2 linked regions of the Drosophila melanogaster genome follow. The protein of the gene in region 2 purifies or fractionates together with the protein of the main gene of each other region. This does not show direct contact. Each region holds a gene or a part of one and is shown on either strand. Other genes may lie near its edges.

Region 1 (3,755 bases), on a different chromosome or scaffold from region 2:
GTTTCATTGAGCCTTTGCTCGTTATCGTCCTCCAACTTCTTGTTGCGCCGCTTGAGTCGCTCAATCTCCGCCTGCAGCTTCTCCATCATGTTTTTGGTGGACTCATAGGCTTCGGCAGCGGGATTTTCACTAAAGTGTACCACCTTGAAGTCCTTCATGTTGAAGTCGCCCCGCAAGCAGCGGTGCATCATCTCCATCTCCAGTTCCTCCTTGCGCCGACGCAGCCGATCGTTTTCCATCCGCAGCGTATCCAGTTCCTTTTTGACGCTATCGTATCCCTCTCCGGCAGGTTCGTTCACAAGCTCCTGCTGGCGCAAGGATTGAATCTCGCGTTCCAACGTGGCACACATGTCCTTGTATCCGGTTACGGTGCGTTCAAGCACCTCCATTCGGACCCGCACCTGCATGTCCTGCGTCATGTCCGCCACACTGGCATTGCTCAGGGTCGTGTCCTTGTCGAAGTTTTCCACCAGTTGTTTGTAGAAGTCGCGCTCCTTAGACACGGTGATCAGTTTGCGCTGCAGTCGCTCCTTGAAGTTCTTGTGGCGTTTCAGTCCGATATTGAGATCCTCGATGTTCTTCAAGTAAATGGCGCACTTATGCTCTAGATCTCGAATTGTGGTCTATAAAATGGAGTCAGATAAATTGGACTTGGAACACATTGGACAAAACCTACATTCAAATGCTTGGTATCCGAAGCCGATGATGTCTTCTCTGCCACGTGAATGATGTCTTCTTTTAGCAGTTGCTCAATGCGCGAGCGTAGGGCCATTGGGCTGACCAAAGTGTTGGCCAAGCAGTGATCCTGGGCCACCTTGACCCATTCCTTGAGTTCTTGCTCCATGTGAAGCAGTTTCACCTGCAGGGAAGCTGCTTCCGCCCGAGCACCTTCCTCCCGCTCCAGTCGCGTTTTGTAGTCGTAGACCTGCTCCTCCAGAAGCAATTTATCGCCTATCAGAGTGTTTAAATGCTTGTTGTGGCTGCGCAGATGCTCCACCTCAGCTAGCAAATCTGGAACACTGGCCAGGCGCTCTCGTGAGGTTTTGACCACCTCCTTCCAGTCGCTATACGACTGAATTTCGAACTCCAGCTCCTGAATGCGATCGTTGGCCACCTTCAAGCTTTGCGTTTGCTTCTCGTGATTGGCGCGCAGCTGCTCGAATCCGGAAGCCCTGGCCTGTAACTCCTCATTGAGTTGACGTAGGCGCTCCAGTTCGTTGCGCGTAGACTGCAGTTCGAGATCGGCCCGCTGGGCTATGCGGCGATATTCGCTCAGTTCGTTGTTGATGCACAGGTGCACATCGCGGGCATCCTCCTTCTGCAGGTACTTCTCCTTCTGCAACTTGAGCGTGGATTCATCGAACTTAAGCCTAAGTTGGTTCAACTCGGCGGTGGCCCGACTGGCCTCATTCTTCAAGACCAGCTCTCGCTTACGAAGCGCCTTAAGATCGTCCTGCAGCTCCAAATTCTTCTTGCTGGTGATGTCGCACTGATCCTTTAAGGCCGTGCTCTTGTTCTCAGCCAGCAATATGGCCTCTTTGTGTTCCCGGCTCTTCTTTTCGATTTCGTTACGCAGCTGAATTACTATGGCCTTGGTTTCGATCAGCTCGGTCCGTAGTTTGCTGTTCTGCAAAGAAGCCATGGAATCGTTGGCGGGCATATTGAGGGAAGAGGCGGTGTCGTTAAGACTGCGTTCCGGTGATTCCCGTTCCCGACGTCGCTTATTGGGTGCTAGTAGAGGAGTTACTTGTTAGTTTCTACGTTCGCGCCTGTAAATTACAACTTACAAACTCCTAAATCGAAGGAGGCGGAAAGCCGGTTGAAAAGTAGTTTCTTGGGTGCCGAATGGGTAATGCTGTCGTTAAAGCGGTCCATCATATCATCTATGCTGCTACGTATGTCGTCCATTTTAAGTTGTATGTGGGAGACCTTAGTTGACGTTTTCAGTAAAGATATTTACTTTTTATTGCTAAAAGAAGTTGGTAAAATATTAATCTTAGAGTGGCTGCAAATATTTAGACAAGAAATGCCAAATATTGGTCATATTTTATTAGTATTAAAGTGGCCGATAACTTTGGCTTTTGTATCCAAAATTGTCACCAATAATCAAATATACGTATATTAATCTGGGAAATAATATCTTAAAAGGGACAGTTGTCTTAAGCAATTTCTTTATTTGGTGTGTTAATATAAAATCAAGAAAACAAATCAAAAGCTAAGTTGGCAGCCCAGTTTAGTATATTCGAGCGTGACTCTTTTCTGCACCACCCAAAAGTATGTTACACGAAATACTACAGGTAAAAGAAATCGCAATCGATAACGATAGTTCTTCGAGTGTTGCCGAAAATAAAAATTGATTTGCATTTCTTCTCGGCTTAAAATGAATTAAATGTTATTGTTTCCGCACCGAAAAAACTCATAAATCGTTAAAACAACAAATTCCGAAATCGGAATTAATTCGAACAATTGAACAACTGCCAAAAACTAGAACGTATGTGAAGCGTGTGTGTCGTACATACCAAGAGATAAGGACAAAAAACGGTTAAAAGAAAGCTTTCAAGAAAGAGAGTATAGAAAATAAATTTTACTAAAGTAACAAAAAAAAAACAACGAAACGCGTGTGCGTGTGCAACAAAAAAGTGTATGTCAAATAAGAAAATGTGGCTCCAGCGATAACGGTACTCCAATGTGCTCTCTCGCACGCACACAGAAGCATCCCGCACACGTACACCACCACCACTGCCAAAAAGCAAATCCTGCCCAACAGCCGCACCTATAAAAGTGGGCGTGGGTTGACCCAAGTTACTGTAACAAATTTGCAAAAAGTGATGCATGCTAATTGTTTAAACAAATCCCAGCTTTCCTAATCAAATACCTTTGCGAATTCCAATACACACCTATACACACATACCCACGCAGTGATTGGTGTGGAGAGGAAGAAGGAAAGGAAGCCAAAGGACAGGATAGAAAAGCAAGAGGAAGAACGAAACAGCATCGGCGCGTTGGAGAAATGTGCGGGAAGAGAAGATTGAAAATAAACGTGTAGTAGAGAATTTTTGAGACACTCACACGCACACACTCCTCCCACACTCTTTCTCTCTGTCTCTCCGTCTATACCGCTTGCCGCCTACACACACACATACTTAAGTAGACGCACGAGAGTTCTCGTATCGCGAAAAGCGTGTGCTTTGTTGTTGCCTCTCCCACTCCCTCGCTCTAAGAGGCGCTCCCGTGTTGTTTTTGTTGTTATTGCCGCTGAGCAAATGGCAGACCCTCTAAGCGGGTGCCGCTGGTGATAACATGTCGTAATGGCCAGAGAGGTAAGTGCAAACGTGCTAAAAGCAAAGCAAAGCCGGCAACTACGGCTTAACCGTTTTAGTTTTCCCGATCACCACGGTACCGCAAGTTACTTTGCCAAAATCAGCTGTTCTCACTTCATCACCATCCCCCATCATTCACATCTGCAACCAACGGTGTTAGCCTCTCCCAACATTAAAACAGTTAACCCTATGTCATATTTTTCCAAAGAAGTTTAACCCAACACTACAACTTAATAATAAAAATGCTGCGTGTAACAAATAATTATTCTCTGTAGGAATGAATTTTTTAATTAAGCAGTAGAAACAAAATAATCAAAAATAATACTAGGTAATAGATTTTTTTTAATAACATGCAATTTGAACAAAGTAAAATTTATAATATATTTTAATATTTCTTTGACTTGGTCTTTGTAGATATTTTGTTCTTTACGTGGT
Region 2 (3,755 bases):
ACCAGCATGATGGGATAGTAGGGCGGAATGGCAGGATACTCGATGCTGGTGCCCGGTGTGGTGATTGCACTCATCTTGGCATAGACGTTTCGGATGTGGCCGAACGGTGTCTTTTGGTAGAGTAGCAGGTAAAGGATGCAGCCCAGCGACCACACGTCCGATTTGGTCGAGATCTTGATCTTCGGCTGATCGGCTCTGCGCATCGGGCTATTCCCCGTGGAGGTGTCCGTCAACGCCTCCGGACTAATGTAGTTAAAGGTGCCCGCCTGCGAGAATTTGATGATGCTCGTCGAGTCCACAGCGATATTGCTGGCTATGCCAAAATCGATCAACTTCAGTCTGCCGCTGACCATCAGGAAATTTGCCGGCTTGAGATCCGAATGGATGACACCGTGTTGGTGAATGTAGTTGACCGCTTGCAGCATTTGGTACAGGATGTTCATCAGGCTATAGAGAGGAAGGTTGGTGGTGTAGCTCTGCAGGATCTTGTTCAAGTCGCAGTCACCTTTCTCCATCACCATGTACAGCTTGGACTCCTCGCGCACAAGTTGACTAAGGAAAAAAAAGTACTTAAACAGTGACGTTAACAAGAAGTCAGTATTTAGAAATATTTACTAATCGTAAAGTGCCACAACACAAACGTTCCCTTGTAGCTTTGCCAGAAGTTTGGTTTCGTTTAGATATCCCTGCACCACTTGTGGATCGGCCTGCAGATCCACCACCTTCAGGGCGAACTCATTTCCGGAATCCGATCGGCGTGCCAAAAAAACAGAGCTGGAGCCGCCACAGCCCAGTTTCTTATCAATCGTATACTCATGATTCTTGATTTTTAAAATATTAGATGTCTTGTGGGAAGGCTGCTCTGGAGGTACAGCAACTGCGGGAATCGATACCAGCTCCTTTGGTTCCACATTATCCACTTTGTCTGGCACGTTATCCTTGTCCGACTCCCGGAAAACATGATCTAGGGACTTTTTGGAAGGATGCTGACTCTTTGGTGGTTCTGCCTTTTTCGGAGGCTCCGGAATGTCCGGGCTTTCTGTGATGGTGTCGCACAGGGAGAAGCTTATGCTATCGGAGGCCACTGGAGCAGCACGACTCACGGTCATAGGTGTTTGGAAGAGCACTTTCTGCGCACGGAAGTCATTGGACACCGCACTCCGACTTTTTCCCGCCAGTGTGGAACCAATTGTTCGTACTTGGGGGGTAATGAAGTCTGCATCCGGCTTCGTCTTCGAGGTGGAGGGTAATTCATTACGCAGTGGCGTCTCTGTCTCTTGGAGTGGGCGCCTTTCGGTGGCACTTGGTGCAGCTTGAAGCGTGGGTGCTGTCTTTTTGGCCACCTGTTTTTCCGAATTCGCAACAGGGGATCCTTGACTGCTGCAATTGATGCCCATGTCGTTGAATCTTCCCAGGAACGAGAGATTCGAATCGGATTGCTTAAGGGGGGCGGCACTTGGTGTTCTACGAGTGGTTATGTTGCTGTTGCTGTTTGTTAACTCTTGGGATGGGCTCAGCACAAAGGAATCGTTTAGGATGGCGCAGTTAAGGTTGTGATTGCTCTTGATGTCCTCCTCGTCACTGTCCGAATCCATCATAGTCAACTCGGACACTCGGCGAGGTCTAGAATCGATAAAAACGTTGTATGTAGAAGTAATGAACATTTCTAGGTGATCTTGTAACAAAAATCCCTCGACTTGTGGGTTAATATAGATTAACTTTTAGGGTATATACTAAGCCTAGAAGATACAGGTTAGTTTCGATGGACAGACCAATTTGGAAAGAAAAGATCTAGGATTCCTGAAAGAATTCATGGAAAATTAGATCCTTGCAGACTCAGGAGGACTTATGTATGGAGAACAGGAGATGTCATGCGATACTGGACATTGCTGTCCCAGTTCTTACAGCATATTTATGGGCAGGGGATGCGGTTCGTTCTCCTTGCCCCTCGTTTGGACTTGGAAAGACGCCACCGGCTGCTGTTTTCGTTCTCCCGCCGCCGCTTGTCGTGGTCGGTATGGCGTGTTAAAGTCGTCCTCGGAGTCGGAGTCCAGTCCCAGTGCCATCATGTCCTTGGTGCGGCGGGGCACAGGCGTGGTCATCTTGCAACCCGATTTATTCTGCCCGACAAATAGTTAAATATCCAATTGCAAATCAAATGCGGGGTTTAAATTTATTTTTTATTCAAGTGTGACCAAAGTTCAAAATTTAAAACATCCAAAGCGCGCTGAATGAAGCCTTTAATAGTTAATAAAACTTAAGTAGCCGAAGGCTAAGTTTTAAAATAATTAAACGAAAATGAGGATTTAAATAAATGTTTAATATTTTAAATTAAGAAATATTGAAAACTACCTAAATTATAATTTAGTGTTGACAACAAGCAAATATAAAAGCACACTCTTTGAGTGAGGGAGAGTGATGTATAAAATACATCAAAATGATTTAAAAGTAAGAATGGCTTAAATAAATAAATTAGATATTCAAATTCTAACAGTAAGTTTATTGTTTACATTTTAGGGTTGTCTTGTTTTTCATGGTCATCACAGAGCTGCCACCCTGAAAAAAGCAATATTTTGGCAGTGCTGCCACATCCAAGGAAAATAAGTGTTGTTTTCCTGCCGACAAATAAACAAAGCAGCAATAGTTCGAAAACTACGCATTCTAGAGCAGAGCAAATGGAGCAACCAGCAACTGGAGGCGCCGCTGTCCAACCGGGCGTGTCCCCAGCGCACATCCACGACACGGATCAGCTCCTGGACCCCGTCCTCTTCTCCAACGACAATGGAAGCTACAAGCTAAATACAGTGCCCGCATTTAGGTGAGATTTTATGCGGTGTACGGGGGAGAGACCTCAGCCGGCGGCAGTGAATCATCCATGGAGCTTTCAAACGACCGATAATGCACATAATTTAATCCATTCTCTGTCCACCCGTAGCCTTCATCTGGTTATCTCCACTGCAATCTCCATTGTGGGGATCGTACTTGCAGCCTCGTTTCCAACCGATCGGCGCTGCGATGCATACTTTATAATGCTCTACCTACGGGCCACCTTCTGGGTCATCACATATGTAAATATACCAATCAGCAGTCTGTCAATCCCGACCTGCCTCAATGTCAACGGTTTTTACAGCTCTTCGATCACTTCGTAAAGAAGCAACACGACAATCTACGCATGCAGGGCTATCACGACTTTCACCGCGAGACTAACATGCAGAAGGGGATTCCCCTTCAGCTGGTATCCCTGTGGAACTCCATGCTGCTTGCTGTCCAGGCCCTAATCCACCACTTCTATGCGGAGAACTTTTGGGAACATTGCGCCGCCGGGTGGCTGTCGCCGGTCAGCTATGTGACCGCCTTCACCGTGGCCGAGAATCTGGTGCTGGCCGTTTCCCACAGCTTATATATTGGTAATGAAGTAACATAGTATCTAGTCAGCGATAGTGAGGGAATCTACTTAGTGTCATGGTATGACTTTTATTTTTATTTTATTTTATGACAGATCGAGCTATCATCATTTTTTTAATATATCTGTGTGTATATATATTGAAATGACGATGGGCAACATTTTATTCAAATAGTTTATATAATGACATAATATAGTAGTCGGGATGGCTAGGTATTTTTTTTAAACTGATTAAGTGACTTGCAAGCAATTGTAATACGCAAAAAATGAGTCAGAGCCGCTTAAATAATCCAGGTATTTAAAATTGAAGTGATTCAGTACAGCCACTAATTAAGTTCGTTCTTTCTTATGG

Evidence for each region.
Region 1: the proteins of Mps1 (region 2) and Mad1 purify together in Drosophila melanogaster (affinity purification with western blotting; 2 studies listed by BioGRID, with this or other methods). This does not show direct contact.

What each region holds. Positions count from the first base shown.
Region 1 is NT_033778.4:9,289,550-9,293,304, forward strand, and holds the start of Mad1 (mitotic arrest-deficient 1), read right to left. Parts: upstream 2,017-3,755; 5' UTR 1,909-2,016; coding exon 1,788-1,908; intron 1,732-1,787; coding exon 677-1,731; intron 624-676; coding exon 1-623.
Region 2 is NT_033777.3:17,669,718-17,673,472, reverse strand, and holds the start of Mps1 (monopolar spindle 1), read right to left. Parts: upstream 2,203-3,755; 5' UTR 2,103-2,202; coding exon 1,906-2,102; intron 1,624-1,905; coding exon 616-1,623; intron 553-615; coding exon 1-552. Other genes in the region: CG7523 (uncharacterized protein), read left to right, coding at 2,676-2,818, 2,936-3,068, 3,131-3,407.